Linked DNA regions of Coturnix japonica. The protein of the gene in region 1 purifies or fractionates together with the protein of each later gene. This does not show direct contact. Links are inferred from orthologs where the notes say so. Each region holds a gene or a part of one and is shown on either strand. Other genes may lie near its edges.

Evidence for each region. The genes of interacting proteins can lie anywhere in the genome.
Region 2: the proteins of EIF2AK3 (region 1) and TBL2 purify together in Homo sapiens (affinity purification with western blotting; 3 studies listed by BioGRID). This does not show direct contact. The link is inferred for Coturnix japonica from reciprocal best matches to the Homo sapiens genes EIF2AK3 and TBL2.

What each region holds. Positions count from the first base shown.
Region 1 is NC_029519.1:77,991,168-77,995,575, forward strand, and holds part of EIF2AK3 (eukaryotic translation initiation factor 2-alpha kinase 3), read right to left. Parts: intron 4,122-4,408; coding exon 3,927-4,121; intron 1,609-3,926; coding exon 1,478-1,608; intron 1-1,477. UniProt on the Homo sapiens protein: Metabolic-stress sensing protein kinase that phosphorylates the alpha subunit of eukaryotic translation initiation factor 2 (EIF2S1/eIF-2-alpha) in response to various stress, such as unfolded protein response (UPR).
Region 2 is NC_029534.1:126,119-131,208, forward strand, and holds the start of TBL2 (transducin beta-like protein 2), read right to left. Parts: upstream 3,469-5,090; 5' UTR 3,430-3,468; coding exon 3,333-3,429; intron 3,199-3,332; coding exon 3,056-3,198; intron 2,972-3,055; coding exon 2,787-2,971; intron 2,458-2,786; coding exon 2,306-2,457; intron 1,214-2,305; coding exon 1,087-1,213; intron 959-1,086; coding exon 806-958; intron 446-805; coding exon 1-445. Other genes in the region: MLXIPL (carbohydrate-responsive element-binding protein), read right to left, coding at 3,799-3,908, 3,984-4,113, 4,847-4,970.

The DNA of each region.
Region 1 (4,408 bases):
AAAATTCTTAAACTCAATTACCCATATTTGACCTGTCAGTCAGATAACACAGCTGTACCAGGAGAGGGAGTGCTAATCCTATAACTGTATCCAGAATACAAACCAAACAAGAACGTTGTCTTGCGTGATATACAAGGTAAGAAAACAGCTGGTGAAGTAGTGCCAATGACACTAAAGGTGCAGCATATGGAGAAGACAACTAAATACCATCAAATAATAATTAAGCTGGGTCTGTTTAGGGAGAGAGATGCTACATAGTTGATAAAAGCATAAAGCATTTAGAAAGCAGCATTCTATAGAAGACATACTTCAGTAACAAAGAATATTTTAATTTAAATGCAAGGCTTTCAAGCAAGAGAAGGGATGGTGCTTTCTTTTTTGTTTGTTTCATTTAACCCCACACAGAAAACGTAACAGAATCTCTGTGACAGGCAATTCAATGAAGCCAGGATGGCTCATGTTACAGGTTTACACACTCTGAAACAAATACGACTGTATAATGAACACAGAGCTGTCTTGCACAGCCTAAAGCCCTTCAACTCTCTCTGGCAGTATCAGTCTCTAAGAATCAGGATTTCTCTTTTAAGACTTCTTATTTGCTCATCTATTCAACTTCTAATTAGCTTCTTTCTGACAGACTACGGGCACACACTCTCAAATCCTGCTGCAAACGGAAGAGGGAGCAGGATAACACAGAATGACCAGCTCTCCACCGAACTGTTGGGCAGTTACTGTATCTTAGTATAGCAACCAGCCTTGCAAACTTGTTTTTAAGCAAGGTGATTGGTTGGTTGGTTGGTTGGTTGAGTTGTTGTTGGGTTGGGTTTTACTGTTTGTTTTGGGTGTGTGCTATTTTGTTTCAGAAATCTCAGTGTACTGAAAACTTCAAAGCCAGAGCATGAGGGAAATCATAGACCAAAGCATTTCTACAGCTTGTTTAGAAAAGAACAGCAACATCATGAAACAAAAGGAGATGTAAGAATGAGGCTTTTTGAAATAAATTCAGCCTTAATGCGTTCATATTTTGTCAACTTAAAATGAAAGCTAAAGCATCAAGTATACATAAGGGACAGTTACCGTGAGTAGATAAAGAGAATCAAAAATATCACAGAAGGCTTTCAAAGTATATCCTCCTATACCAAGTGATCAGCTGGAACAAACAATGGAGACACTTGCCTTGTGCAGTAGAGACAGACTTTCAAGGTATACAAGGACAAGAAAAGTCACCATCATTTGACTTAGAGGAAATAAATATGGACAAGTATTTTTTCCAATGGTCTAAAACTGAAATTAGAGAGCTTTTTTTTTTTTTTCAGAAACATTCAAAACCGGAAGAGTTAGGAGCTAAATAACAAGTCCGTGACATTCCTTTGGTTAACAGTCCCAAATCCCTCATACAATTCCTTTCCTACTGAGAGTAAAAAGGTCAAATTCTTAAAGTGTTACAAATTAAAACCTCTGTAACTATAATACTCACTTCTCATTACCACTGCGTGGTCCAACAGCACGTACTGTTTTCTGAGTTCGGCGTAAAAGGAGAGTGTCCTCCTGTTCTGCCTCATCATCATCCCACCGGCGACAGCCCACAGCCGAGCAGATGTACTTCACCTAAGGGACAAGGCAAGAGACTCACAGCATGGAAATGTGAATAACCTCAAGATCCAACAGGAGGGGGAATGATTGTTTATAAAGGTGGATAGTGATAGGACAAGGGGGAATGGTTTTAAACTGAAACAGGTTTAGGTTAGGTATTAGGAGGAAGTTTTTCACCCAGAGGATGGTGATGCACTGGAACAGGTTGCCCAAGGAGGCTGTGGATGCCCCATCCCTGGATACATTCAAGGCCAGGCTGGATGTGGCTCTGGGCAGCCTGGTCTGGTGGATGGTGACCCTGCACACAGCAGGGGGTTGGAACTGGATGATCATTGTGACTCTTTTCAACCAAGGCCATTCTATGATTCCATGATTTTAGATGTTCAAGTTTATGGATGTTAAAAAGCACAGTTTAAGAGAACTGCTTTTGCTAAAAGTTCTAGGAATTCATAATCTGGAACATCCCTGACTTATTGACTCTTTGCATGGTTTTCTATTCTAACAGAAAGAAATCATAGTTCCTCCTTTTTCCACGATGTCTATTGACATAAAGATAATTTCTAGAAGTAGGTTCATATTATAATTCTGTTTTCGTGCCATATCTGCCTCAGCATAACTTTATTAACTTCAAATTAAGTACTATTGATCTATATAAAATACTACAGAGCCATCTCACTTAGTCTTTTCAGCTATTAAGATGGGATGGGGACCTCAACTAATGCTGTCACACAGACTTTGCAACAGTCCAATTCTGAAACAGTATTTGGAATATAAACAACCACTTGTGTTTTGAAAGTAAGTTGGACACACTCTCAGGAAGTGTGAATGGACATTACAGAGCCAAAGGCAACACACAGAATCATGCAGAATGGCCTGGGTTGGAAGAGGCATCAAAGATCATGAATCTCCAACCACCCACCACAGGCAGGGTCGCCAACCTCCACATTTAATACCAGACCCCATCCACCCTGGCCTTGAACACCTCCAGGGATGGGGCATCCACAACCTCTCTGGGCAGCCTGTTCCACACTGCCAAAACTCTAAACATGGAAGTGTAAAGCAGTATTTCCTGTGTGCAGCACCTTTGGTACTGCAAGTCTGGGCCTGAATCAAAGCAGGAACTGAAATTTCCACTTCCTCAACAGCTGGTACAAGTGCCCTTTGCCATCAGTGAGAAAATCTGAATGATTTCATAATCTATTTCTTTGCATCCTTGTCATCAGCGATCATTACAGAAACCACAACAGCATTCTACGTGAGGACACCTGGTCTAAGTGGAAAAAGCAGTTTGTTGGTTTTTGTTTGAAAATCAAACACTGGAAGTTTAAAGTTTAAAAACATTGTAAAAACAATAAGGTTTAAAAACATTAAAATATTTAGGCTGTCGATGCCCCATCCCTGCAGGCTTTCAAGGCCAGGCTGGATGTGGCTCTGGGCAGCCTGGTCTGGTGACCCTGAACATAGCAGGGTGTTAGAACTGGATGATCATTGTGGTCCTTTTCAACCCTGGAAAGGTTGTCAAGTCTAGGACTCAATGCAATCAATTCCTGTATTTTATCCCTTTTTTCCCTTCTGTTTTTTAGAAGTATACAACATTCAACCAGAAAATTTCAGGAAAAAAAAAAGAAACACTTTCTGAACCACTCAGATAGAAAGTAGTTTTCAACTTAACTTCTGCATGAGGTTAAAAGTTAAGGAGGATTTCTAAGGTAGAGTAAACTTAATGGCAACAAGAACAAAACTCAGAAGTTCATGTACATTGAATGCTTTTCTTGTTTTCAACCAGACACTCTTTGCTAGTCGAGAAAAAATTAAATCTTTAAGTGTGAAAAATGTATCACCTAAAACTTTATTTGATGTTCAGTAAGCTGAACTGTGAAGGCTGTTCCAGGCAGAGACACATAATAAAGCTGAACTCATCTTCCAATTCGGCAGAAAGGGGTCATTTCTTCCCCTTGCTCTGAATTTGCTAACTCAGCACAAAAGTAATCCAATAAAAAGCAAAGAGTTTTCTCTTAGGTTAGCAAATTGATTCTGCTCAGCAAATGGCAAGTGACAGAGGCAGCACAAGGGAGAGAGCAGAAGCTCACACACTAGACAACACTGCACTGATGCTCCCAGCAGTGTCATTTAACTGCACCAGCTGCCAAGTCTTACTCCAGCCTGTTTTATTTGTTTCCCAAGAAATTTGGATTCTTCTCTTTGGTGCTGTGCAATCATACTCCAGAACTGCAGCGCAGCTTAAATCTTAAGAACAATCTACTTGCACGTTAGTATTAGAAACATAAGACACACAAATTTGAGATACACAAGACAACTTTAAAGGCTCTTACCTTCCCTGAGTAGGAGCTCAGCCCGTAGCTTGTTAAAGACTTCCCCCCAACTAAGACAACATCCTCGCCCAGTTTGTAGGATGACTCGAGAAGAGATTCAACTGTGAAAGGAACTGCTTCCATGCTCTCTCGATCTCGATCCCACTGGAAAAGGTCTCCATCCAAGGAAGGAATTATCATCTTATTTCCAAATACCTAAAACGAGACAGCAGAATATAAGCTACTACTTCTAGCAAAACATACACAGATGCAAAATGAAGCATAGCATGAACAAGTACAGTGATTTATACTTAATAGTCAGTCAGTGGCTGAAGACTAAGCACGTTATTGTGACTGTTTCAAGACAGCGGCATTCTAGGTAAAGCTGTAAATTTCTATGCCCTTCCCCAGAGTGAATGTCGTAGTAAATACAGAACTGAGCATTCTCTCCAGATCAGACAACTATATTCTGTTCTAAAAGAAAAGCTGAGGCTGTATGTGTG
Region 2 (5,090 bases), on another chromosome or scaffold:
GCCACACACAGCAGTCAATGCTCTCCTGGCGCTGTGGATCTGCTGTTCCAGCCGCTCCTTTGTGGTTCTGCTGCTGCTTCTCCTCAGCGCCGCCTCCATCTCCTCCAGCACCGCGCGGTACCCGGCCGTGTTGTGGAACACACGGATCGCACGGTCCCCGCAGGACACCAGGAAGCGGCCGCTGGTGTCGAAGGCCAGGTCTGCGATGTGCTGCGTGTGGACACCAACGAAGCGCTCCTCCTCCTCCCCTCTGCGCGTGTTGTACACGGTGATGTTGGTGCCGCAGGAGATGGCCGCCACGTGAGCGTCAGGGGACAGCGCGATGCGGCACGGCTCCGCCACATCACAGCTCCCCGTCAGCAGCAGGTACGGGTCCTGCTGCTTCTTGTACTCCACATCCGTGTCCCAGAACTTCCACGTCCCGTCCTTGGAAACGGTAGCCATCCTACAGGCAAACATAAACCACACGTGACTGCCAGGAAGGTGGGTCCTACTTGTTCCCTCTTCGCATCTACAAAGCAGGAATCCTTTACTTTGTGGACAGATACTGGTTTTGGAAAACATGAGCCTGCATACGTGTGTACACATAGGGCCGTCATCCTCCCAGAGCAAGGAGGATGGTCACCCAACAGGAGGAAACCCACAAGGAGGATAAGGACGGACCACAGCAGTGCTTGGGCACCCAGGGAGCACCCGGGGCCGGGATGGGCACAGGTTTGAGTATGGATGGGCAATTCAGGCACACTGGGAGGTGTGAGCACACACATCCTCAGGGTATCCTCAGGCAGTGTTAGAACACACTTACCGCCTCGAGTCATTAGAGAAGGCGAAGGAATACACGCCAGCAGTGTGGCCTTTCAGCTCAAAAGCCCTGGTCACTTCCCGGAAGTCACCTTTCTTGCCAAAACATACTTCCCAAACCTTCACATCGGGAGTAAAGCCACACGATGCCACAAACCTGAACAAAATAAAATAGTCTATTACAAAGTATCACTGTGGCTGGGTTATAGGGTCAGCTCCACAGCCACTGCACCACTGAGCTTCCCACTCAGCAGCAGCAGCCTGAAACACCTGCAGGTTCCTCACCTCCCGCAGGGTGATACAGTAGCATAGGCATTGTTCATCTGGTTAGTGTTAATGCTGGCAAGGACTTCACCCTTGGGGCTCCAGATCAGGATGGTAGTGTCACTGGAAGCTGTCATGATAAACTTCCCTGGGGGGAGGAAGAAAAAGGCAGAGATGAGGAGAATTCCTAGGCCTAAAGCTGCCATAGTCACCAACAGCTGTAATGGTTCCTAAACAGAGAAACTTGTCTCTGCATCAGAACTGTCAGGAAACCAAAAGCAGCACCAAAGCAGCAGCACTTTTCTCCTGGCACAGAGCACAAAGCCGTGCCAACAGGCCCATGGCCGGGTATGTACCAGTGTTCAGTCAGGACTCAGCAGCTCACAGCTGCCAACCCAGAGCCCCCCTGAGCTTCCACCCGGCACCTTTCAGATCCTACTTGCAGAGCTCAGTGCTACGCTCAGTCAATGCAGCAGACTTTATCAGGTTGTGCTTTAACCAGGAGAGGTATCTAGCTTTCAAAGTCAGGGATTACAGACTGGTAGATGATTAGAAGTCACACTACGTTTGTCCTGGATTACTGGTGGCGTCGCATTTTGGATATTTGCTTGTTTCCACTTGCTGTGCTTTCACTTTTCATCTCAGCACGGACACTGAGTTCAAATTTATCTTCAAGCTACTTGTTACAGGGTTTCAATTTTCACTCCTGCAGCCAAACAAAGACCTCAGTTAAAAATTCATGGACTTTTCTCTTACAGAGTGGAACGTGCATCCACCCGCTGCCAACTGTGCGCTGCCACGCAGCTGAAGCACGAATCCACCAAGCCTCAGCCATCAACATTCACCCTTCTCAGGCTGTTCTAGGAGATACCAAGGGCCAGCCTACGCTCCTGAACCTGTCAACTGACTGCAGCCATTTCTCACTGGCTGAAGCAAGAGCAACAAGCCAGACAACAGTGATGCTCAATACTGAGACCACGACTCTTTACAACAGTGTCCCTGAGAGCCTAAAATAAGACACTGCAAATCAGGCAATTCTAAGCTTCCTTAGAGATTTCTCTCCTCAAATTGTTTTCCAGCTTACTCAATAGTAAACAAAGGCTAAGACACAACAACTAGAATAACACAGAATCGAGCAGGCCTTGATCAAGTCAAGGACTATCAACATGTTCAACCCAGCGGCTGTTGCTCAGAAAGGAAATCCAGGTGGGTGTGGGGGCACAGCAGGGGAGCAGCTCACCTGTCTCTGCGACTCCCATGTTAATGACGGGAGCTTTGTGCTTCTTTGGGAAATCCTCGGAGGATGGTGTGAAGGTGAAGCTGTCGTCGTCCTTCTTCGTCACTTTATAGACACGAATTGTCTCTCCGTTTGCCAGCCAGACGAGGAGCGCCCTAAGTGGAAGGACGGGAACCGAGCCGTTAAGCAGCAGGTTGCCGTGGTCGGCCCAGCTCCGGTGTGTGAGTTACCGGTCACCGTGGGGCACCTGGGGGAGAGGTGACACATCAGTTGTTTTATGAGGGCTCGGTACCTGCCCTGCGGTAGCTCCGTCCCTTCCTCTGCCCTCAAAGCAATTCAGCAGCACCGAGCTGCCTCCCCCGCAGCTCCCGCACCCCCCTTATACCGGCCGGCAACGCGGGTGTTGTGACACCGCCCCGAGCCCCGCGTTAAGGCGGGACGTCCCGCATCGCGCCGCCGGTGCCACACGGGGTTCCGGCCCCACCTGCCGTCGGGGCTGAAGCGGACGAGCTCGGCGTGGTCCAGCTCCACGTTTCCCCGCACGCTGCGGTGCTCGCGCGCCGTGAAGTCGCGTGTGCTCCAGAGCCGCACGGTGCGATCGTCGGCGCAGGACGCCAAGTGCTTCCCATTGCTGCTGAAGTGCAGGCAGCTCACAGCGCCAACGTGACCCTGCGGGGAGCGGCCGTCAGGGCCGGGACGGGACGGGATGGGACGGGACGGGGGGCTCCAGCGGGACGTGGGGGCGGCCGGTACCTTGAGCGCGGCGGCCAGCAGGCGGTGCGTGAAGCCGGGCTCACGCTGCGGCTTCTCCCTGCGCGGCCGCGGCTTCGCCCTGCGGGGACTGTCGGGGCTGGAGGCGGCGGGGCCGGTCAGCACCGGGCCGGTCAGTGCGGGGCCTGCGGGGAGCGGGACTCAGCGGGGAGCGACCGCGGGCAGGGCGGAAACGGAGCGGTACCCACAGCCGTACCCACACCGGTACCCACAGCCGAACCCACACTTGTACCCACTCTCCCGTCACCCCGTGCCGTACCGGTGGCCGTTCTCCCCGGTGCAGCCCGGCGCAGCGCAGCCGCCACGAGCAGCGCGGCCACGAGCAGGAGCAGCCCCAGCCCCAGCGCCGCCTCCATGGCCCGACAGCTCACGGCCGGGCGGGGCACGCGCTGCGCATGCGCCGACACACGGCCCCGCCCCGCCCCTTCCTGGCGCGCCTCTCGTTTGGCCCCGCCCCCTCCCACGTGACCGCGCGTGGCCGGAAGTTGCGGCGGCGTGTTTCTATGGGGGCGTTAATGGCGCGGCCGGTACCGGGCCGGGTTTATGAGGGCTTTAATGGGGCCGGCGTATGGCGCAGCTTTAACGGGGCCGGTTTATGGCGCAGCTTTAATGGTGTCGGTTTAATGGTGTTGCTTTATGGTGCGGACGCGGCCCGGTCCCGTGAGCGCCGTCTTGTTGTTGCGGTGTCCCTTTCCTCCTTCCCTCCCGCCGTCCCGTCCCGGTTGTCACGTGTTTCCGCTCCCGGCCGCAGCGCGCGCCGCCTGCTCGGGGACACGCGCGGGGTCGCTGAGGATGGACGTGGAGACGCTGAGGAGCCGCAGGGAGCCCAGGATCGCTGCGGGACACGGGGCACGTCACGGACCGGACCGGGCCGGCTGCTCCCACCCCCCGACCGAGCGGCGCCACGTACACGGCCGGAGCGCGGGGAGGGAGCAGTGCTGCTCCAGCCAGGCCAGGGACGTCTGCGTGAGGCTGTCCATGCTGCTGGTGGACACCGTGCTGTTAAAGGACTCGAACAGGGGCCGGATGATGACGCTGAACTGTTGGAGCGGTTAAGGACGAACGTGGCGGTGGCCGCGGTGCCCTGTGTGCGGCCAACAGCGATCCTGCCTGCACTGCGCTGTGATGGGCGCACACAGCACAGCACAGCACAGCACAGAGCACAGCACACAGCACAGCACAGCACAGCACACAGCACACAGCTCACAGCGCACAGCACAGCACAGAGCTCATAGCTCACAGCACAGCACAGCACACAGCCCATAGCACAGCACAGAGCTCATAGCTCACAGCACAGCACAGCACAGAGCTCATAGCTCACAGCACAGCACAGCACACAGCCCATAGCACACAGCACAGCACACAGCACAGCACAGCACACAGCTCATAGCTCACAGCGCACAGCACAGCACAGCACACAAACACCCAGCTGAAACCATCATGTTCCTGGGTTTGCATCTGATCCTTTCCCAACCTCTAACCGATGGCTGCTGCATCTCAGCGCCAGTTCCAAAGTTATTGGGAGCAATTGCCCGTGTAGCAATGCCCAGCTCAGTCTGGGCACTTCAATCTGCTCCCCAAGGACTGACCGTTTATTCCTACCCTGCTGCTCTCTAGTAACAGAAGTTTCTTCTAAGCATCTGAGCGTGTCCCCTTCACGTGTCACCCACAGAACGTCTTGAGCAGCAGGGATCCCACACAGCTGGGAGGGGAGGGCGGACCTGGTGTGTGGTGGAAGGGGCACTGAGCATCCAGTGCTGACCCAAAGGATACGATCCAGAACTTCCAGTTGTGCAGCGTGGAGGAGCGCACGTAGTCGTCAAACATGCCGCGCATCTGGTCGAAGCGCTGGCGCGTGATGGGCACCCCGGTGGCTGGCAGCTGCTCCTGGCACAGGCTGTGAGGCACAAACAGTTCTGTGGGGCCACGGGTGGGAGCCTGGGGCACACGGCAGCTGCCCCACGTGAGAAGAGGAGCCCGGTGTGCCGCAGGGCTTGGTGGCTCTGCATGTTTCAAG